Sus scrofa: one gene and its partners. The protein of the gene in region 1 interacts with the protein of each later gene in a pairwise test. Links are inferred from orthologs where the notes say so. Each region holds a gene or a part of one and is shown in the gene's direction. Other genes may lie near its edges.

The links. The genes of interacting proteins can lie anywhere in the genome.
Region 2: the proteins of CDC42 (region 1) and PLEKHG4 interact in a two-hybrid assay, tested with the Homo sapiens proteins (2 studies listed by BioGRID and IntAct, with this or other methods). The link is inferred for Sus scrofa from reciprocal best matches to the Homo sapiens genes CDC42 and PLEKHG4.
Region 3: the proteins of CDC42 (region 1) and PAK3 interact in a two-hybrid assay, tested with the Homo sapiens proteins (2 studies listed by BioGRID and IntAct). The link is inferred for Sus scrofa from reciprocal best matches to the Homo sapiens genes CDC42 and PAK3.

Annotation. Positions count from the first base shown.
Region 1 is NC_010448.4:80,078,180-80,085,452, forward strand, and holds part of CDC42 (cell division control protein 42 homolog), read left to right. Parts: intron 1-4,280; coding exon 4,281-4,390; intron 4,391-4,518; coding exon 4,519-4,716; intron 4,717-7,273. UniProt on the Homo sapiens protein: Plasma membrane-associated small GTPase which cycles between an active GTP-bound and an inactive GDP-bound state. In active state binds to a variety of effector proteins to regulate cellular responses. Involved in epithelial cell polarization processes.
Region 2 is NC_010448.4:27,926,776-27,934,048, forward strand, and holds the end of PLEKHG4 (puratrophin-1), read left to right. Parts: intron 1-1,150; coding exon 1,151-1,333; intron 1,334-1,577; coding exon 1,578-2,080; intron 2,081-2,155; coding exon 2,156-2,402; intron 2,403-3,073; coding exon 3,074-3,163; intron 3,164-3,246; coding exon 3,247-3,468; intron 3,469-3,557; coding exon 3,558-3,728; intron 3,729-3,802; coding exon 3,803-3,980; intron 3,981-4,510; coding exon 4,511-4,627; intron 4,628-4,772; coding exon 4,773-5,009; intron 5,010-5,093; coding exon 5,094-5,260; 3' UTR 5,261-5,378; coding exon of another isoform or gene 5,379-5,384; 3' UTR 5,385-5,905; downstream 5,906-7,273. Other genes in the region: BTB/POZ domain-containing protein KCTD19, read right to left, coding at 6,156-6,269. UniProt on the Homo sapiens protein: Possible role in intracellular signaling and cytoskeleton dynamics at the Golgi.
Region 3 is NC_010461.5:91,210,899-91,218,171, forward strand, and holds part of PAK3 (serine/threonine-protein kinase PAK 3), read left to right. Parts: intron 1-359; coding exon 360-408; intron 409-720; coding exon 721-833; intron 834-2,606; coding exon 2,607-2,724; intron 2,725-4,435; coding exon 4,436-4,535; intron 4,536-5,040; coding exon 5,041-5,237; intron 5,238-7,273. UniProt on the Homo sapiens protein: Serine/threonine protein kinase that plays a role in a variety of different signaling pathways including cytoskeleton regulation, cell migration, or cell cycle regulation.

The DNA of each region.
Region 1 (7,273 bases):
AAGATTCAGTGATAGTCAGTTTAACAAAGTGTTCACATATGTAAAAACTCAGGAGCTGTGTAATACACTTTATTGTCTTTTTAAAAAAACCAGCACAGTGACTGGGAAGTGTTCTGTGCACAGCTAATATTCTCTTCCTTAGCAGATGAGTAATATGCAGAACAAGTCATAGTGGTGCACTATGACCCAGTTTAGCTTATTCTGTTTTGTTTTTAAGAAACTCCTTTCATTGAGGTGTTTTCTCATATCTGGCAGTCTTCTACAGTTATCGATTGATTACATTAACAGGAATGAATGACAGTGCTATCCATACAGATATTTGTAGTCGCCTTGGTCCAAAGGCATTTTGACCAAGATTTGAGTCTTCAGTAAATTCTGCATTAACATGCAATAGTCTAGATTTTTACAGATGTTAATGCATAAAATAATAGGAATATCAGGTTCCAGAGTGTCCCCCATTTACTTTCAGCTTTTTTCCTTTTTTCTTTTCATGATATAAAAGGTATTATGAAATTATTTAGGAGTAAGCTTCATGGCACAAATGAAGCAGAGATCACTAAGTGCCCTTAAATTTTGAGTACTTGGTTATTGAAAAAAATGTTTAGGTTTTAATTTGCAGTGGTAAATTCTATGAAATGTTTAATTTGTTTTCTTCTTATTTATGATGTCCTACTTTAATTCTCTAAGAATGTTGCTTTTGGAGTTTCTGTCGTGGCGCAGTGGTTAACGAATCCAACTAGGAACCATGAGGTTGTGGGTTCGATCCCTGGCCTTGCTCAGTGGGTTAAGGATCCGGCGTTGCTGTGAGCTGTGGTGTAGGTCACAGATGCGGCTCAGATCCCACGCTGCTGTGGCTCTGGTGTAGGCCGGTGGACCCCTAGCCTGGGAACTTCTATATGCTGCGGGAGCGGCCCTAGAAAAGGCAAAAAGACTGAAAAAAAAAAAGGATGTTGCTTTTTGGCAATATCCTTATTTTTCATACCACAATATTGTTTCATATTTTTCATGTGGACCAGAGTCCTCAGTTCTAGCTTGAGTTTGAGCTCTTTCATTTGAGGTCGTTATCAAGGACAAGAACCAGCAACCCATGAGATAGAACCTTGTTTTTTGGCAGGTTAAGTGGTGCTCTGGTGTACTCTTAGAGTAGATATAGTTTAAGACCTGTGGTCAAAACCTGTCTCACACATATAGAGTGAAGTTTTTTTGATCCTGTTGTGTTCCTTAAAGGATGCTAAGTGATAGTGCTGCCTCTGTCTTGAGTGAATAATGACTATCTGTGACATACTTGGAGCTTAAATTTTACCTGAATATATTATGCTTGGATTTTGAAGGACCTTGCTCATCTAAGGTATCATACTCATTCTCTTTCCTTTAAATGTAGCACTTGTAACAGATGGAGATGTGAGGTAGCCTACTTTTTATTTATTGAACAATTTTACTTCTTCTTTTTTTTTAATCTCCCTGTGAAAGGGAAAGAAAGATTTTATAGCTTTGAGGGCTTGTTCATTCCAAGTAAATGGACAGACCAATACTGCTTTAGATCTAGTATTAAAAAAGAGTAGCTATATTTGTTTTCTGTAACAATTGATATAAATAGAAAGAAGGCTGTTCGCATTTAAAACATTGGGCCTCCATTTAGATGCCCCTTGTGGTGCTCAGGAATACATACATACTTGGATCTGTTTTTGATGCAGGGCCTGAATGACTAAAAATGAAGCCTTTTCTAGTCTATGCCAGGGTTATTTTTAGTGAAATATATTCCATTTGAATAGGGACTAGGGCTAAGAAAAGGTATGTGAAGGGTCTGTGCTTTTTACATGGCTTGGTTAACTGTTTTGTTGTCTTATTTTTTTAATTTATTTTTTGTTTTGTTATTTTATTGGAATTTTGACTGATGCTTCAAAGCTCAAGCTGAGGTTAGAGCTCAGGCAGTATGGATTGAGAGAATTGTTAGGATTTGGCTGATTTTGTTTTCCTTTAGCCCATTATTTCTTTTTAAAATCACTTCTTTGTCTATATTGTACATTCATTATAATTTAAAAGTGAAAGTTATGCATCTTAGTGCATACCTTTGAATTCCTTTGATTCTAACCCTAGCATATTGCTAAAGTATTCAGTAAATGCTAGTGGTATGATATCGGTTTTATTGTTTTGTTAACGTCCTTTGTTTTAACTTGTCTTTTAATCTCTTCATTTTTTGTAGAGTATTATCCTGACAGTACCCTTATTTCTACTTACAGTGTATTGTTTAAGTGGCAGTAATGGCAACATATAAATAATGGTAACATCTTTAATTATCATGTTTCGATAGCTAGCCTAAATTCTTGTATTCTTTCTCAACATTGGCAGAAAAATTTACCGGCATACAAAATACTCAATTTTCCTCCCCCCCCTTCAAATTTTTTCTTATCGTAGTAAAAAATATATAGCATAAAATGTACCATTTTAGGAGTTCCACTCGTAGCTCAGCGGAAACAAATCTGACTAGCATCCACGAGGATGCATGTTCGATCCCTGCCCTCGCTCAGTGGGTTAAAGATCCAGCGTTGCCGTGAGCTGTGGTGTAGGTCACAGATGAGGCTCAGGTCCTGTGTTGCTGTGGCTGTGGTATAGGCTGGCGGCTACAGCTCCGATTCAACCCCTAGCCTAGGAACCTCTATATGCTGCTGGTGTGGCCCTAAAAAGACAAAAAAAAAAAAGTACCATTTTAACCATTTTTAAGTGTACAGTTCAGTGTCATTAAGTATGTAATTATTCTCTTAATACATAGCTCAGTTTTGAAATTGGATTAAATCTTTCCTCTGTGACTCCTGACTTCCCTTCACAGTTTTGGAAATGTGTATGGATATTTTTAAACATATCTGGAAATAATTTCGAGTCTGCAGAATAGTTGCAAAAGTACTACTAGGAGCCCATGTGCACCCTTTAACCAGATTTACCAGTTGTTAACATTTTACCTTATTTGCTGTATATATATATATATTTTTTTTTTTTTTTTTTTTTTTTTTTATGGCCATATCCACGGCATATGGAGATTCCCAGGCTAGGGAATGAATCTGAGTTGTAGCTGCAGGCCTACGCCACAGCCACAGTAACGTAGGATCTGAGCCGTGTCTGCAACCTGTACCACAGCTTAAGGCAATGCTGGAGTCATGATGGGAACTCCTGCAGTTCAGATTCTTAATTCACTGTGCCAAAAGACCAAAAAAAAAAAAAAAAAAAAAAAAATACAAGAGACTACAGAGAGGTGACAATTAGTAGTTCCCATTGTGGGGCAGCGGAAAAGAGTCCGACTAGGAATCATGAGGTTGCAGGTTTGATCCCTGGCCTTGATCAGTAGGTTAAGGATCTAGCATTGCTGAGAGCTGTAGTGTAGGTTGCAGATGCGGCTCAGATCCTGTGTGGCTATGGCTGTGGTATAGGCCGGCAGCTATAGCTGCAGTTCGACACCTAGCCTGGGAACCTCCCTCCATATGTCAGGAGTGTGGCCCTAAAAAGCAAAAAAAAGCAAAAAAAAAAAAAAAAAAAAAAAAGAGATGACAGTTAAATCCAATACATGGTCCCATATTTAAAAGCAGGAAAAACTGTACTTGAATCAGTCAACAAAACTGGAATGCAGATGTTGGAGTATGATATCAATGCTAAATTTCCTGAAGTTGATTACCATTTTATAATAAGAATGTCTGTGTTTGGATTTGATTTTTAATCATTTCTGTAGTAACAGCTTATTGTTTTGGTTACATTATTGTTGTGTTGCTAATGGACACAAAGATTGAAAACTACGAATTGGTGGTAAGGCAGAGTTCCTGTTGTGGCTCAGAGGGGTAAGAACCTGACTAGTATCCTTGAGGATACAGGTTTGATCCCTAGCCTCACTCAGTGGGTTAGGGATCTGGCATTGCCACAAATTGCATTGTAGTTTGCAGATGTGGCTTGGATCTGGTGTGGCTGTGGCTGTGGCCTAGGCTGGCAGCTGCAGCTTCAATTGACCCTTAGCCCAGGGGCCCTAAAAAACAAAAGAAACTGGTAATAAGGCAAATAATGAATATATAATAAATTCATTGCTGTTCTAAGGGCCTGAAATATTAAATAAAGTTAGCTGAGTGAAAGTACTGTTCACATATTCTGTTACAAAACCAAATATTTTATTAGATAAGTTGCTTTCTCATTAATGATGTGTGCTATTAACTGCATGCTTAATCTGTTGACTGACTTGTGAGTTTAATGTTGTGAGGGCACCAAAATTCAGTTGCTGATTTCTTCAATTTTTCACTCCTTAGGGCAAGAGGATTATGACAGATTACGACCGCTGAGTTATCCACAAACAGATGTATTTCTAGTCTGTTTTTCAGTGGTCTCTCCATCCTCGTTTGAAAATGTGAAAGAAAAGGTGAGTTGGTCAAGTATTCTTGCCCTGAAAAAAAGGATTGTCATAGAACTTCTGTTGACTTGTTGTTAAATAGCTTTGGGGGCTTGTGGATTAATGCAAATGTGTTTTAAAAAATATGTTTTCTCTAGTGGGTGCCTGAGATAACTCACCACTGTCCAAAGACTCCTTTCTTGCTCGTTGGGACCCAAATTGATCTCAGAGATGACCCCTCTACTATTGAGAAACTTGCCAAGAATAAACAGAAGCCTATCACTCCAGAGACTGCTGAAAAGCTGGCCCGTGACCTGAAGGCTGTCAAGTATGTGGAGTGTTCTGCACTCACACAGGTGAGGACTGTGTGGAGCTCCATGTTTATTTATAGTTGAGTGTTTCTTAGCATTAGGATTCAAGTGTTTCTCACAGTGGTCTGCAGTGCTCAAGAAAGCTGAGATTATAACCAGTTTCATAGTGTATATTCCTTTGTTAGAGGTCTCTGTGTTTATGGAGAAAAGTAGTAGTTTCTAAGTAAAGCTCTCGTGTTGGCCAGCTCCCACGTTGTACTGAATCATTTGTGGTGGTTAGAGGTTGTTTAAAAAAAAATTTCAGGTGTACAGCTAAATCAGTCAGTTATACATATAAGTATATCCATTCTTTTTTTCCCATATTAGCACAAATTTATGAGAGTATGTGAATGATTCCCCTCCTTCCCTCAGACTGAAATGGTCATCTAAATATATCTAATCTTTTCTTATCAGTAAGGACAATTGATGCTGTATTGTTTCTGGGGTAATTCACCTGGGATAGAGAATTAGTCACAATAATTGAGACTTTGATGTCAGAGAAAGCTGCCTTGGCCATTTCTCAAGCATGACTTTTTATATAGGGTTTCTATTATGTTTTTGAAGGCATTCTTTCCTTATGTGGTCCTCTCTTCTGTCCCTTTCTGAAGGATTTAATTTGAACTCTTTTTATATTTTGACGGGAAACCTCAGATCCCGAGGACAGGGATCAGTGTTATAGTGTTTAGAGTGAGAGTTGTTATGTCCTTGTTAATGTGGTTTCATCTTTTCTTCCTTTATGGTGTCACTAACTAGTTCTCCCCTCTGAGCACAGTTCTGGGGGTAAAGGAAAGAGTTATGGAAACAATTAGCAGCGAACTCTTTTATTCTACTGGCATTGATGCCTTGACATTTGAACAGTGAGCAGCTGAGCTGAATTAAAATAAGGCAGGGCTTGGTAGCTCAGTGGATAAGGTTCTGGCGTTGTCACTGCTGTGGCTTGGGTCGCTGCCGTGATGCAGATTCAATCCCAGGCCCTGGAACTTCTGCGTGCTGCGGGTTGGGCCAAAAATAAATAAATCAATAAAATAAGCAGGGTTGAAAAGTAGAATTTCTTGTAATTACATCAAATCTATTTATATTTCTCATGCTACTTTTTTAGGTAACTTTTATTTTTTATTAAGTTAAGAAAAGCCACTATTGGATTCTTGGCTTTATATATATTGAAGTAAATGGCATATATAGTTACGTATTATACATGTACTAGATATTTAGTATGTAGGGCCTACACATAATTTAGTAATCTCCAATTTAGCCCTGGGTTGGGATATGTAAAAATAAAACTTTTATTCTTAGCTGGCTATTTCACAGGATGACTTTAAAGCTAATTTCGTTTTCCCAAACTAGCAGTTTAGTTCCCTAGCAGTTTAGTTCTGTTGTAAAAGCAGATATTTAAAAGTTGAGAAGATTTTACATCTTTTTACATAGCACTGAAATTTTTTTTAAATGCCTGATGCTTCTGTGTTTTGATACCATACCCAGGAAAGTGTGTGTGTGTGTGTATTGAAGAAGATATATGTGGAACACTTTGGTCGGATAATTGTTGAATATCCCTGTCCTCTAAATACGGGTTGCTTTGGGGGGAAATGGAGGCAAGTAGGCCATGTGGACCCATTTGTAGGTCACTAGTGAAGCTTATTTTAGAGAATTGGATGTTTTCATATAAAGTTTTTTACAGTATGAACAGGTTTATATAGTACAGCACTTTGCCAGAGAATAGAAATTTGAAAAGATCTTAGCAACTGCGTTTTTCTTACCAGATTTTGAATTTGGAGAAATCAAAAGAGAAGATAGCAAATGGGGTCTCTGGTGCTGTTTGGGAGCTAGAACTTTTTAGGACTCCAGATTCTGTTTGTTGGTTCCTCTAAAACTGAATTCTTTATATAATCAGATAGTGTGATTAAAGCAAAGATTAGTTTTGTCTTGTAGGCAATTAGTTGATCTTTTGTCAGTAAGCAAGAAAGGATTTTCTGTTTATTAGGGATACCCTAGTTTCCAGTTGTTGTCCTTGTCTTTTTTCCCTGCATATAATTTATGTCTTTCCATCTTCCCTCCTTCCTTTTATGTTTGACAACCAGAGTTTGCTCCTAGATGTGTAGAGAGAATTTTGGGGGAATTTTAACTTTTATTTAGCATTTCTACTTTGTAAAATAGACACAGAAAGAAGAAAACTTTTTAACTTCTTTGCTTCTTTTTAAGTGCTTATTGTTATTTCTCATTTGTTTTGTACCTAATGGAATGTGTGGGTACCAGTCCTCCAAGGTACTGTGGTGGGGATGGACAGGGTGGGGACACCTGGGGTAGTCTGGGGCTGGCACTTGTTATTAGAACTGTGTTCTGGGACTTTGGGGGAAATTTTTACTTGGGATCCAACTGACCTAAAGAACATGCAAAATTTCTTTGGGTGGTAAATCTATGGCTTCAGATTTAGGTGAGTTTAGGTGAGGCTATAGACCTGGTACCAGTACTGAGTCACCCTGTCCCGCTGGAGTTCTGGCTGAGGTGTAAGTGTATTTCTGCATCTTAATCCCTATAGGTCTGATAATATTCTTTGTTTTCACTCCAT
Region 2 (7,273 bases), about 52 Mb from region 1:
GAAATACAGGGAGAATAGGGCAAGATGAGGTAAAATGAGGCTGGAAAAGTGGTCAGTGGCCATATGCTGGGCCCTGTGACAGTGTAATTTAAGTGGAAAGTCATATAATCAGATCTATGTTCTGTGAACATTACCTTAGTTCATAGGTAGACAGTTACTTGGAGGATGGACATGCAGAATGCATTGAAGAGGCAGTTGCAGTGGTCCAGGATGGTGGCAGAGGAGATAGAGTTGAGATTTTTTTGTTTGTTTGGTCTTTTTAGGGCTGCACTCGCAGTATATGGAAGTTGCCAGGCTAGGGGTTGAATCGGAGCTAGAGCTGCTGGCCTACACCACAGCCACAGCAACACAGGATCTAACTTACACCACAGCTTACAGCAACACTGGATCTTTAACCCACTGAGCAAGGCCAGGCCTCGAACCTGCATCCTCATGGATACTAGTTGGGTTCGTTACCGCTGAGCCATGATGGGAATTCCTAGATTTGGGAAATTGATAGAATTCAATAGTGGAAACATAGGAAGAGGATAAGAGGGAGAGAGGTTGCAAAGATGAATAGGTACTATTCCTTGAGAGAAGGATTCGGGGACGGCAACCTTCTGGGGAAAGGGGATTCATCCATCCAGTCTTGGGTGTGCTTTGGGGATGACCATGAAGGAACGAGAGAGAGCTCAGAGGAGGGATCTGCAAGTAGAGGGTCACTTGGTGGTTGTGGGCTTGTGAATGATACTTGAAGATTGCCTGAGGAGAGAGCGTGGGCTGTTTTCATGGGCACCAGTGTTTAACAGCCCAGGTGTCGGGTGGAGAGCAGGAGGATGAAGCACCAGAGAAAGATAAGGAGAATCAGGAGAGTGGGGATGGGTCACGGGAGCTGGGGGAGAGAGTGTTGGATGGTGCTGAGTGGTTGAGTCAGAGGTGGGGGAAGTGGGGCTACAGATGCTCATGAGTTAAGCAGTGAAGAGAGCAGCAATTCCTCCAGGAAGTTTGGCTGTAGGGAGGAGCACAGAGAGAGAGGGGAGTGGGTAGGGGGTGGAGGGAAAGTCTTCAGAGAAGACACTTGACGATGACGTGTAGACATCTGTGGAAAAAATCTGGGCTCTGGGACTAGACTACCAGGCCAGGGCTTGCTGAGCCCAGTCTCTGTCTCCAGGAGCAGATCAGGCGAGGGGAGAAGTTTCTGCAACTACTGGTTGGATGGGATGCGGCTGAACTGGGCCCCTTTGGGGCCAGCTTTCTGGCCCTGCAAGCCCAGCTGACTGACTTCTCTAGGGCTTTGGCCCAGAGGCGGCAGAGGCTGGCAGATGCTGAGAGGCTGTTGCAGTTCTTCAAGCAGGTGGGTGAGGGGGTCCCAACCCTGGCTCCAGGTGGTCAGTGAAGTAGGGGTGGCTGCTCAGCTCTACTACCACCTGAGTGTTGCTGTGTATCTTACCTGTTTTTTCTCCTTGTCTTTAGTCTAACCCCCAAATCCTACCACTGGGGATGTGGCCATTCAATGGGGATGGGGGGTGGGTAGAGGAGAAGGCCCAGCAATCTTGATGGGCTCCTTCATCAGTGCCCACCTAGCTTTGGTATTGCAGGCCTCGACGTGGGCCGAGGAGGGGCAGCGGGTGTTGGCAGAACTGGAACAGGAGTGCCCAGGGGTTGTGCTGCAACGGCTACAGCTGCATTGGACCAAGCACCCTGACTTGCCTCCTGCCCACTTCCGAAAGATGTGGGCTCTAGCCACAGGGCTGGGATCTGAGGGCATTCGCCAGGAGTGTCGCTGGGCCTGGGCGTGGTGCCAGGACACCTGGCTGGCCCTGGACCAGAAGCTAGAGGCTGCTCTGAAGCCTCCATTGACAGGTAGCACAGCTAGCCTGTGTGTAAGCCGGGGCTTGGCTAGACCTGCCGCCCCTCCCCTGAGAAAGGCATACAGCCTTGATCGGAATCTGGGACTGAGTCTCAGAGAGTCTACACAGCAGTGCCACCATGAGGCTGTTGTGGCTGCCTGCCACAGTCCAGAGGCTGGAGGTGGTGTCCAGCCAAGGTCCTGCCCCACCATGCCTCCACCAGGCAGCTGTGACCCCAGGAGCCCCAACAGGTACAGGCAGTGAGCAGGGCAGGGAGGGCAGTGGCAGGACAAATGTCTTGGGTCCTGACTCCACCTCCTTGGTAGGCTTCAGCTGGTACTGGCGGAGATGGTAGCTACAGAGCGGGAGTATGTCCGTGCTCTTGACTACACCATGGAGAACTACTTCCCGGAGCTGGATCGCCCTGATGTGCCCCAAGGCCTCCGTGGCCAGCGTGCCCATCTCTTTGGCAACCTGGAGAAGCTGCGGGACTTCCACTGCCATTTCTTCTTGCGTGAGCTGGAGGCCTGTACCCAGCACCCGCCCCGGGTGGCCTATGCTTTTTTGCGCCATGTAAGCCTCACAAGCCATACGGCCCCTGGCTGATTCTGTCATACTCAGCAGAGAGCTGTTGGGTACAGGCTCTGTGACGGGTACAGCTCTGAACAGGACCAAAAGGTTCCTGTCCTTTAGTAGAAGAGACATAAAAGTAAAATCCCAGGTTATAGTTTGGGCTAGGAGGAAAAAAAATCAGGATAGGTGATTGTGAGTTAGTGGTGGGGAAGGGTATCTCCTTTAGAGAGAGCAGTTAGGCCTCTTTGAAGAGGAGCTGATATTTGAGCTGAGGCTAGAGGGAGGGGCTCCAGTTCCATTCAGAGGAAAGATCAAGTGCAAAGCCCTGGGCAGGAAAGCAGCCTGTAGTCATGGAAGAAACAGGTCAGTGTGGCTTAGTATTGTGAGCAAGGGAAGGAGGTAAGGTGAGACCAGAGCGGTGCTCTCAGAGCTGTGGGAGGATCAGAGCTGAATGCAGGACTTCTTTTCCAGAGGGCCTGTGGGCAAGCCCCTCTCTGCACAGTCCCTGTTCTCGCCAGATCGCCTCTCAGTCAAAGCAGGGCAGATTGGATCTTTTGGGGGAAGCCTCCTTGGGACCCGCCTGTTGGCATTTTGGTCCTCCCCAGCTGAGAGTAGTCTGGGCCCCTTGGATGCTGGCCCCTTGCACCAGGCTGAACTATGTATCTTTGCAGAGGGTGCAGTTTGGGATGTACGCACTCTATAGCAAGAATAAACCTCGCTCTGATGCTCTGATGACCAGCTATGGTCATGTCTTCTTCAGGGTAGGTGAGCCTGAAACTGTAGGGGGAGGGGGAATGGAGTAAATAACCTGAAGCCCCCTGATGGTCTCCCACGCACCTGGCAGGACAAGCAGCAAGCACTGGGGGACCACTTGGACTTGGCCTCCTACCTGCTGAAGCCCATCCAGCGCATGAGCAAGTATGCGCTGCTGCTGCAGGAGCTGGCGCGGGCCTGTGGGGGTGCTGTGCAGGAGCTGAGTGCCCTGCGGGCTGCCCAGAGTCTTGTGCGCTTCCAGCTGAGACATGGCAATGACTTGTTAGCCATGGATGCCATCCAGGGCTGTGATGTGAGTCATTCTAGGGCATGGTGGGCAGGGGCAGGTGTGAAGGGAGGGGGCAGAAGAGGTGGGGCACCCACTGAGCCCCAATCTGACAGGTCAACCTCAAGGAACAAGGGCAGTTGGTCCGACAGGATGAGTTCATGGTGCGTGCTGGGCGCCACAAGTCCCTGCGTCGCATTTTCCTCTTTGAGGAGCTGCTGCTCTTCAGCAAGCCTCGCCGAGGACCTGCAGGCATTGACATATTCGCCTACAAGCGCTCCTTCAAGGTAGGCTGACCCAACCCCTCCCTGCTCCCCCCACACTCCCCATGCTTCACCAAGCCCTTCTCCTGCCCGCACAGATGGCAGACCTTGGCCTCACTGAATGCTGTGGGGATAGCAACCTGCGCTTTGAGATCTGGTTCCGCCGTTGCAAGGCCAAGGACACCTTTGTACTACAAGCTGCCAACTTGGCCACCAAGCAGGCTTGGACAGCTGACATCTCCCGCCTGCTCTGGAGGCAGGCTCTCCACAACAAGGGTAGGTTCCCTGCCCATTACACCCCACATTCCCCTCCTCGGAGAGCTTATGTCGTCCCAGAAGGGCCCCAGGGAGGACCTAGGGACCTGGAAGCACTTGTGAGAAGGGAAAAGGTCCATCAGCAGCAACCCATCCAGGGTTAAGTACTCCAAAGTCAGGTAGTCTTGCTGTCACTGTCTCAGACTGTGGACACAGCATTAACTTCTGAGTATTAGAGGCCTCATGTCTATTTTATTTATTTGCTTATTTACTTATTTTGGCCTCACCATGGTACATGGAAGTTCCTGGCCAGGGATTGAATCTGAGCTGCAGCTTTGGCCTGTGCCACAGCTGCAGTAGTAAGAGGTCTTACCTCTAAAAGGAGAATTGTGACGCTTGTCCATGGAATTGTTGGGAAGAGAGAGTCTGGCACCAGAAAGGCTCAGTGCCCAGGACAGTGTGCTGGCTATGGGTGGATAGGAGAGACTTATGTAAGGGGGAAGGGTAGATAAAGGGCCTGGCTGATATCCAGATGTTCACTGTCCTCCCAGAAGTGCGCATGGCTGAGATGGTGTCCATGGGTGTGGGGAACAAGGCCTTCCGGGATATTGCACCCAGTGAAGAAGCTATCAACGACCGCACCATCAATTATATTCTGAAGTGCCGAGGTAGCAGTCAGGCTGCAGGGGGTGGGGAGGGGAGAGCTGCACAGGAGGCAACATGGACCTCTCTCAGCCTTAGCTGGTGTTCGCCTCCAGACCTTGGCCCAGCTGGGCTCTGGCCTGACCCAGCCTGACCCTCTTTTTCATGCAGAAGTTCGCTCTCGTGCCTCCATTGCTGTGGTCCCATTTGACTGTGACAGCCCCTACCTGGGGGCCTCAAACTCCCTTCCTGGAGACCCTGCCTCTTGCTCTGTACTGGGGTCCCTCAACCTGCATCTGTATAGAGACCCGGCGATTCTGGACTTCTGCTGGCCCCTGTATTCCACCAGCTTCCCAGAGGAAGCAGTACTGGAGGCTGAAGCCGAGCTGGGCAGCCAGCCATCTTTGAGTAGGTCTGGGGTTGGCCAGAGGCAGGAGGGCATGGCTTGTTATCTGGGCCTCCCCTCCTGACAGCTCACCTAATCTTTCCTAGCTCCTGAGGACTCAGAAGTCTTGTCCCAGTGCCCATCAGCCAGTGGCTCCAGTGGCTCAGACAGCAGCTGTATGTCAGGGCAGACCCTGGGCAGGGGCCTGGAAGACTTGTCCTATGTGAGTTCCATTTTACTTTATACCCACCAGCCCTTCCTCAGCCCCACCTAGGCCTATGGCTGCCTTGCCCTTAGATAGAAATGAGGGGGTGGTCAAAGTCATTTCTCAGAGACCCCGCCAGGACCCCGAGCTCGGGAAATAATTATTCATGCCTAGCTTGGCACCACAGGTCTGAGCCCAGGCTTAGAGGCGGTCAGTGGATCCAGGCGTCTATAGATCCAAGGAATATCACCTCTTTCAGGATCTGCTGTGACCAAGCCATGGTTGGCACCTGGGTTGCCTCCAGCCTACATACACAGTCCTATTGATTATCTTTTCTGATGTCTGGGTCAATTGGACAGACCAGCAGGGACCTCTCTAGGAGATTCTGGCTACAGGGCCAAAATGAGCCCCCAGTCCTTGGCTCCTGGCCTCCTGTCCCCTTCTTCTGTCTCCAGCTCCCCCCAGTTGCTCCCACCCAGAGCAGAGGGTGAACGTTTGTTCCCATGCTTTAGGCAGATGGGGCATCAAGTGACTCTGGTAGTGACTGGGCTGCCCCACCTCTCAGGATGGACACAGGTGGGTTCCCAGCCACTGCTTCCCAGCCCCTGGTCTCATAGCCAAGCTCCCCAAACTTAGGGGCATGCTCATTCCTATTGGACTCTTGCCTTCCCTGACTTTTCAAGCCCAGCCCCTTCTTTCCTGGGTCACATTGGTTATTCTGACTCAATGCTTTCTGCATAGCTTTCAGTTAGAGTTGTTTAAGATTATTTCACTGATTGTAAGATCTTTGGTATCTCAGAGATGGAGTACAGGTCCTTGACTTGTGACTTATTCTTTATTTGTTTATAATAAAAAATAAACTGATACACACCCTTGGATGGGCAAATGCATTTTGTGGATGTCCCCGGTTAAAAAGAATCTTGTTGGTAGGGTGGTGTATGTCGGGGCAGCATCTCTGGGCACCTTAGCCCTCTTGTAAGTACTTGCTCAGGACAGAGTAAGAGACAGACCTAGACAGGCCCCTCTGGATGAGCAGGTCCACACAACGGCTGTATTTCCTGGCGAAAGGCAGCGTGAGCTAGAAGGAAAGGCTAGGCTTATTCCTGACTTTGTGGCTGGTTGCCTACTCTAGCTTTGTGTGGATGGGTCGGGCCATCTGGGTCGGGCCATGGGCAGGGCAAGGGCAGTTGATGCTTTTGGGTTCAGTTCTGCCTGAAGGCATCTCACAGACCTGTGGCTAGGAGTGACTACCAGGGAACAGAAAAGAATAACCAGAGAATCAAAAAATGAATATTTCCTGCCACTGGTTTTCCCCTTTCTAGTTGTAGATGCTGACTTTACTTTCCAATCAACAGACTAGGTAGAAGCTAGTGTTTATGGTGACTATTATGTTTATGGTGAAAGGGGTTATAGTAATGTACTTGATTATCGAAATACTAGATTAATGAAAAATTAGCTAAATCTTTTTCACCTACAATGTTAAAATAAAAATTGAATGCTAAAATTATTTTAAGGAATCAAAAAACAAAAAACCTGGGTCATTTCTTTGCCCTTATTGAATATTTTCTTTTTCTTTGTAAAAACTAAAGCAGCTTTGTTGCTGTGGCTCTGGCGTAGGCCGGCAGCTACAGCTCTGATTGGACCCCTAGGCTGGGAACCTCCATATGCCATGGGTGTGGCCCTAAAAGGACAAAAAAAAAAAAAAAAAAAAACTAAAGCAGCTTAAGTGCAAAAGGAATGTACAAAAGTAAGGACATCATGGCTAAGAAGGTGAAGTTGGTATCCTTGTTTAAAATGTCTGAGGAGTTCCTGTCTTGGCTCAGTGGTTAACGAATCTGACAAGGAACCATGAGGTTGCGGGTTCGATCCCTGGCCTTGCTCAGTGGGTTAAGGATCCGGTGTTGCCGTGAGCTGTGGTGTAGGTTGCAGATTTGGCTCAGATCCCGTATTGCTGTGGCTCTGCCGTAGGCTGGTGGCTACAGCTCCGATTCGACCCTGGGAACCTCCATATGCCTCAGGAGTGGCCTAAGAAATGGCAAAAAGGCGAAAAAAATAAAAAATAAATAAAAGGTCTGACTCCCA
Region 3 (7,273 bases), on another chromosome or scaffold:
GCTCTGACTGGACCCCTAGCCTGGGAACCTCCATATGTCACAGGTGCGGCCCTCAAAAGACCAAAAAAAAAAAAAAAAAAAAAAATTCCAAGAGTTTCCTAAAAAGAGCAAAGCCATTTTGCTCAATTCATTACTGCCTAGTTCCATGGCACACCTAAAATGTGACCAGGTTTCCAGCCCACCAAAAAGATGTGATAGTTTGGGGAGCAATTATTATACAAAATGGTTGTTCCTTTTGCACTTCATCCTTGAAGCTTGAGTTCGCTGAGTTCCTTCTCCTGAAAATAACTACCCGCAATGCCCAAGAAAATACATTGGTTACGCTTTGCTTATTCATTTGATAATCTGCACCTTCACAGGGCATCGGGTACTGTTTACACAGCGCTGGACATTGCCACGGGACAAGAGGTAACTGTTAACCTTCAATTCTGAGTCTTGCTTTTCTTTGTTTATTTCGATCAGAATTCCCCTTCGATGGCATCTATGCCTGAAAGGATGGGGACCACGGGGTTGACATGTTTACATTGTTGGTGTCCAAAATATCTGAAGTGAATGGTTTGTTCATGCTTGACCACAGGAAAGGAGCGGGGGGTGGTGGCATCGAGAAGGAGCCTAGTAAGATAAAGAGTTTGTATGCCTGACTCTGTATGCCAAAAAAGATGGATGTCTGTGTTTAGTCTAATGATTGTAATTCATTCCTGCATTTTAATCATGATTCAGGTGGCCATAAAGCAGATGAACCTTCAACAGCAGCCCAAAAAGGAATTAATTATTAATGAAATTCTGGTCATGAGGGAAAATAAGAACCCAAATATTGTTAATTATTTAGATAGGTAAGTGTTTTCTCTCATCGTGTGCTTGTTTTCTTTATGGGATATCATTTTCCTGGCCAATTATTTTTATTTAGGATCTATGCGTTTAGTATCCATTCTACACATATTTCGCAAATGCTGCAAAACAGTAAGAGCATCGGGTCTGTTGCTAAACTTATACCCATTTATCTTTGTCCACCCCTTAACCATTTGAACATGCATGTCACGGTCTTGCTTCTAAACCCGAGCAGTTTGTGTAATTTCCTTCTGAGGATCAGGACTCCGTGTTGCCAGGAAATGGACTGTTGCTTACTGGAGAGAGAGCTGTGCTGTTTTAAACATTTCTTCAAGTGTGTGTTTGGAGCCACCGCAGTCTCTGACTCTCTAAGTGAAGAAGGCCGGCTCCATTGGCCCTGCTTTAATGGGCGCTTTGTGATTAACTGGCAGCGAGGTCTAGGGAATTGAGACTTTAATCTCAAACCTTTTTCCGAGACCAGGTAATTAATGTCTCTTTCATCAGTGGTATTAGCGGTGGGTTATTAATAGGGCATTTAAAGACAGCACTAACTCTTCACTTGTGGTTTACATCTGTCTCATTCAGTTTCGGTAAGTGTTTGTTTAGCACCACTGTGCTGTATACTCTGGGGGGATTCAAAGGAAATAAGACCGGGTCTACAACCCCAGTGCTCTTAAGATCTGGCTGCCTGTGTCTTGCCCCAGGTAGACCAGCAGGCCGAAGAAGATGAAAGGGAGCCCCCAAAAAGAAGGGTCAGATTTTACAGGCAAAATTGGAGCTTCCTAAAATATCCTTCCAGGACCCTCTGCAGCAGAGTGACGTCACTCTGCTTTTGTAACCTCGTAAAAATTGCAGTTATAAAAATGCAGATTCCTAGGCTACTCTCCATAACTCATGAGGCATTTGGTTCTGATGAAATAAGCATTTTAATGAAAATTTTCATCTTGAACAAGCTTCCCTGGTGAATCGCACGGGCACTGCAGTTTGAGCACCACTGGATAGAAAGTCTTGCTTCACACCGATGTCAAGCTTAGGACAGGGTAGAATTGTTGGGGTCCTTCCCTTTCACTGTAATTCCTCCCTCTTGCTGAGCAGGCGAAAAGAGAGACCTGATCATACTGCTGAAGTGCCTTCAGCTGGTCGCAGGTCTTTTGAATTTGCCAAAATTGTGGGGCTCTGGCGACCTGCCTCCCCATATCTGGCCATTTGGGGTGTGTCCCTCAATGGCTCCTTAAAGATAATGGGTGTGTCGCAACCGACTCCTACCAGAACTGAGACCTCAGCACAGTAAATCATTGCCAACCTGAGTCTCTTTGGTTCTCTTTGATTCAGCGACTACCTGAAAAGAGTTCAGTGATTGATTCAGTAGAATCAAACGTAATGCTGAGAGCTGAATAAATAATCCTATAAATCTCTGTGCCGTGGGTTCATTCCAAGAAGTCAACACTATGACCTGACTTGTCCAAAAGGGCTGTTCACAGATCCTTTTCATTGAAACCAGCTTTTTACAGTGGAATGACTGACAGTCGTCAGTCACCAGAGGCCTCCTTGCTTTTTCCTTCCTCCATGATGCAACTTATCTGATGATCCTTTGATTTTCATGCATATTCTCTTCTAATGCTAAGGAAATATCTCATTAGCATAATTGACATTTTCCTCCTGTTAGATAAGATGGCCAAAGGCAGAGACTCACTGCACATTGCCTTCTTAATGGGAATATAGAAGAGTCTCCACTTCCTTTGGCCTGAATCATCATCTCTTTCTTCCTCTTGTTTTAGCTACTTAGTGGGTGATGAACTATGGGTAGTCATGGAATACTTGGCCGGTGGCTCTTTGACTGATGTGGTCACGGAGACCTGTATGGATGAAGGACAGATAGCAGCTGTCTGCAGAGAGGTAAGAAAATAGAGCATTTCTGGCTGATGAGAACACCAAAATTGGCAGTTCCTTCTCTTTGATTATTGAGAAGGTTGGTACCATCAAAGTAGCAATAGCACATCTTTTGTCCTAAAGAGCGACTGACGAGCCTAACCTCAATTTAAATCCTAACTCTCCCTCTCCAGTCCCTTGTTTGTTTTAGTTGCTTTGCTATGGATCTATTTCAGTTCTCTGTATGCCATTCGCGAGGTACCGTATCTAAGCCTGCATGCCAGAGTGTCGGTGAATATGAAAAACAATTCAATGCTGTTGGCAATAGAACTTCTTTCCGACTGGGGGGAGTTTTTACATGATGGTTATTTTGCCTTGCATGTGCCGTGGAAGCCATGTACAATACAGACCACATTATAATCCCATCATTTTCTAGAAGGCAGTTTAAGCAAGGTCCTTCCTCAATCCAGAAAGAAGTTGCTTTCACAGTACATTCTAGAGACCCGTGCGTCTGAGTGTCTGCCTCTTTTCCAATAACAGTGCATATCTCGTTTCAAATAAACTAAGGATATTTACTTTATTAATTTTTTCAATATTAAAAAAACACATTCCTCTTTGGAGTGTCATTTTGTCAGCTGTACCCCACTCACTGAGGTTTTCTATAGACACAGAGAGGAACTCTGACCCACTGAAACTTGAAACCCAATGAAAGTAAAACAAAACCACATAATTTCAGGAGTTCCCTTTGTGTCTCAGTGGTTAACGAATCCAACTAGTAACCATGAGGACGCGGGTTCAATCCCTGGCCTTGCTCAGTGGGTTACGCATCCAGTGTTGCCGTGAGCTGTGGTGTAGGTCGCAGACACAGCTCGGATCCTGAGTTGCTGTGGCTGTGGTGTAGCCCGGCAGCTGTAGGTCCACTTCAACCCCTAGCCTGGGAACATCTGTATGCTGCAGGTATGGCCCTAAAAAGCAAAAAAGAAAAAAAGAAAGAAAGAGAGGACACATAAATTCAAATAGTCTTTTCTAGTCTTTCCTTGTTTTTTATTTTAAATTGTTCACTTAAATTTCCTCCTTCCTTGCTCTCCTCTCATTCCCATTTCCTCCTTGCCAAACATGCACACATGTTAACCAAACACATATTTTCTGCATGCAGTAAATTAAAATATGCAGGGGCCTATTCAACCCTTAGCCTGTGGTTTTCATCTTTGAGTATTACAATGCAAAGCCATTTCCAAACAAGTACTTTTAGTGACTGCATAGCCTAGAAGTGGTTCCCAAACCTGGATTTCTGTCCATCGAGAAATAGCTTGTGGCGCTTGTTTTAAATGCAGATTCCTGGGTCCCTCTGCAGACCTGCCGAATCAAATTATGCCACAGTTGCAGATGCTTACTTATGTGTATAAGACCAAGTGGAATCGCTATCCTCCAGATAAGTAGGTCCAAGCAGGATTATATTCATTGGTTAATTTGGCTGTCTTAACAATTTAGTGCTTCTCAAGACAGCATCACTCTTCATGTCCAGGTCTGATTCGGGAGCTTTCATAAGCAGAACGCCAAGTTGTATCACTGATGTAGATGGTAATGTGACTTCAAAATAGCATTGAAATATTTAGTCATTTATTTCACCCAACAACATAAAATTATATCCCTGCCCCAGATGTCTCTAGAAATGAAATATATTTTTGGAAAATTATTGTGATATAATGAAACCTTCTTTTTCCCCCTGATTCAATAGTGCCTCCAAGCTTTGGATTTCTTGCACTCAAACCAAGTGATCCACAGAGACATAAAGAGTGACAATATTCTCCTTGGGATGGATGGCTCTGTTAAATTGAGTAGGTATAACGGTGCAGATGGCATTTGAGCGAGTGTCATGGGATTCCTACTTTTTTCTCTCTATGTTGAGAAGAAAATGGCTCTTGAAAAGTGATTGGTTTGACGGCTTTTAGACCCCAGGATGAGATAAACGATTTTTCTGACGTTCATGTTCCTGTAGACTGTGGCCAGATTTGAGGGGTTTAAAATTTCAGAATTTCTAGTGGCTTGCACCTGCTAGATGACAGCTACCTAATTAGAAAGCTGAAAGATTCTGGAAGTTAGAGGGAAGCAGTATGGGGAGGGAACCAGACTGAGGTCTAGTAAAAATGACATCACATCAGGCAGTTGTCTCAGACCCTTTTACAATCTGAACCAATTGCGAGATCAGTTAACAAGGCTATGAGCCAGGCAGTTATGGAAGCTCTGTGTCTAACCAAAGAAAGGTATGGCCATATCTGAAGGGGACCGCTTGTAAAAGAAAAATAATTCGAGCTGACTGTAACAAACTTTTCTTCTCTGCAGCTGATTTTGGGTTCTGCGCCCAGATCACCCCTGAGCAAAGTAAACGAAGCACTATGGTGGGAACGCCTTACTGGATGGCTCCTGAGGTGGTGACTCGAAAAGCTTATGGTCCGAAAGTTGATATCTGGTCTCTGGGGATTATGGCAATCGAAATGGTAGAAGGTGAACCCCCTTACCTTAATGAAAATCCACTCAGGGTAAGTCAAAGAAAACGCAGGTACTTCAGCCACCGGAAAGGGAGAAAGCCAAATGTCATTTCTTGTCCCCACAAAAGTGGCCAGAATGGGCTCTTTTGTGTGACGAAGTGACATAGAAGCTCCAAGTTATCATTTTCATTTTTTCTAAAAAAGTTTGATTGAAGTATAGTTGATTTACACTGTTCTGATCATTTCTGCTGTATGACAAAGCGACCCAGTTACACATAGACACACATTCATTCTTTTTCAGATTCTTTTCCCAAATGGATTATCACACAGTAGTGGGTAGAGTTCCCTGTGCTGCACGGCAGGTTCCCATTGGCCAGCCATTCCATATACCGCAGTGTGCATAAGCCAGTTCCAGACCCCCAGGCCATCCCTCCCCCAACCTGTCCCCTTTGGTAACCATGAGTTGGTTTTCAAAGCCTGTGAGTCTGTTTCTGTCCTGCAGACAAGTTCATTTGTATTCTTTTTTTAGATTCCACGTATAAGGGATATCGCATGATGTTTGAAGTTACCGTTTTCAAAATTACTATGAGTTATTTTCTATGTCTCTTAAGCTGTCTCAACAGTTTATTCAAATGCTTTGATATCACTATGTCTAATGACAGGGGTCTTCAAAATTCTTTGGTATGGCTTTCTGCTGTTAAAAAAAAGGTGTAGCTTGGTTTGGGGGGGGTTTAAAGCAAGATGTGGGAAGAAGACAGTATTTTTATCACATGCCATGGTTAAATGATCTATCTAGGAAACACTTACTTTATAATTACTTTAACCCAGTAAATAAATGCATTTCCAGAACAGCTATAATTTTTAAAATTAGATTTTGTTTCATCATCAGTAATGATTTATTGAGCAACAGCAGCTTGGTGGGTATTAAATGGAACACAAGGTAGACACAGCACCAGGCTGGTGAAATCACAAACTTAATTAGACTGTCAAGTAGAAAACGAATGGAAATCGTTTGTGTTGAGTAACTCACTTTGCTACTGCAGAATCAGAGATTTGATCCTTACGTGCTCTGGTTACCTCTACAAAGAGAAAGGCTCCATTTCAGAGCCCAATGCCACCATGTTTGTATTCAGAGAAAGGCAGAGGAGTATCGAAAGAAATGCTTGCTCCGTACAGCAGGGAGCCAGTAGCTATCTTCTAGAATAGAGCCTAAAGATGAGCCAGAAGCTATGTGGTGTATATAAAGGGCATCCCACTATTGAGAAATGGAAATATGTGCAGATTCAAGTTCTAATCTCAGAACCCATGCCAATGCCAAAGGCATCTTGCATATGCTTTGCTTCATTACCACTAAGAGTCAAGCTGAATTTTATTCAGAGTATACAAAACCCATTGCCCTTAAGTAAATGGTTAAGTGTTTACATGTTAAGCTTATAAAAATCCATATTCCAGCTAAATCTATGCATCCTTCTACACATGTAAATAAACCCACAAACTAATTACCTAGTTCTTTTGCAGTCGAACATCTTGTAATTGGGAGCTGCAGTCCCTCTGTACGGAGAGGGGGACAGCCTCCTCCTTGCCCCCTCCTAATTCTTCTCTGGTATGTGGCCTCTTGTCCTAGTCCCTGCGCCAGTTAGAAAATAACAGATAGGAGTGGATGCCCTAATGAATGCAATGGGCTATTGCTCTGGTCTCAGGAAACAATCTGGAAGTGAGATGTGCACATTGATTAGCTGCCTGCGGGGCTGAATGGAAAAGAAGGGGCATTTTCCCACCGATTGTGGGTCCATGAATTTAATCAAGCCCACCCCTGACCTGCGGACCAGCGCATCAGGATAAAGACACAGGCTTGTCCTTATTGTTTAACCCCCTTTGCTCATTAAGAAATAGCAGTGAAAGAACACATCAGGCCTCTTGTTTCCATGGATTTCCTCCTCTAAGTCTTCGGAGTTTGGAGGCACTAAATGGATTATGGCTCTTTTGCTTTCTGCTTTCTGATGAGTAATTTACAACCTGCAAAATTTAAGGATTAAATAAATGGCTCTGTAAAGCAACTGGTCTCGGTAATGCATTTATGACCTTCC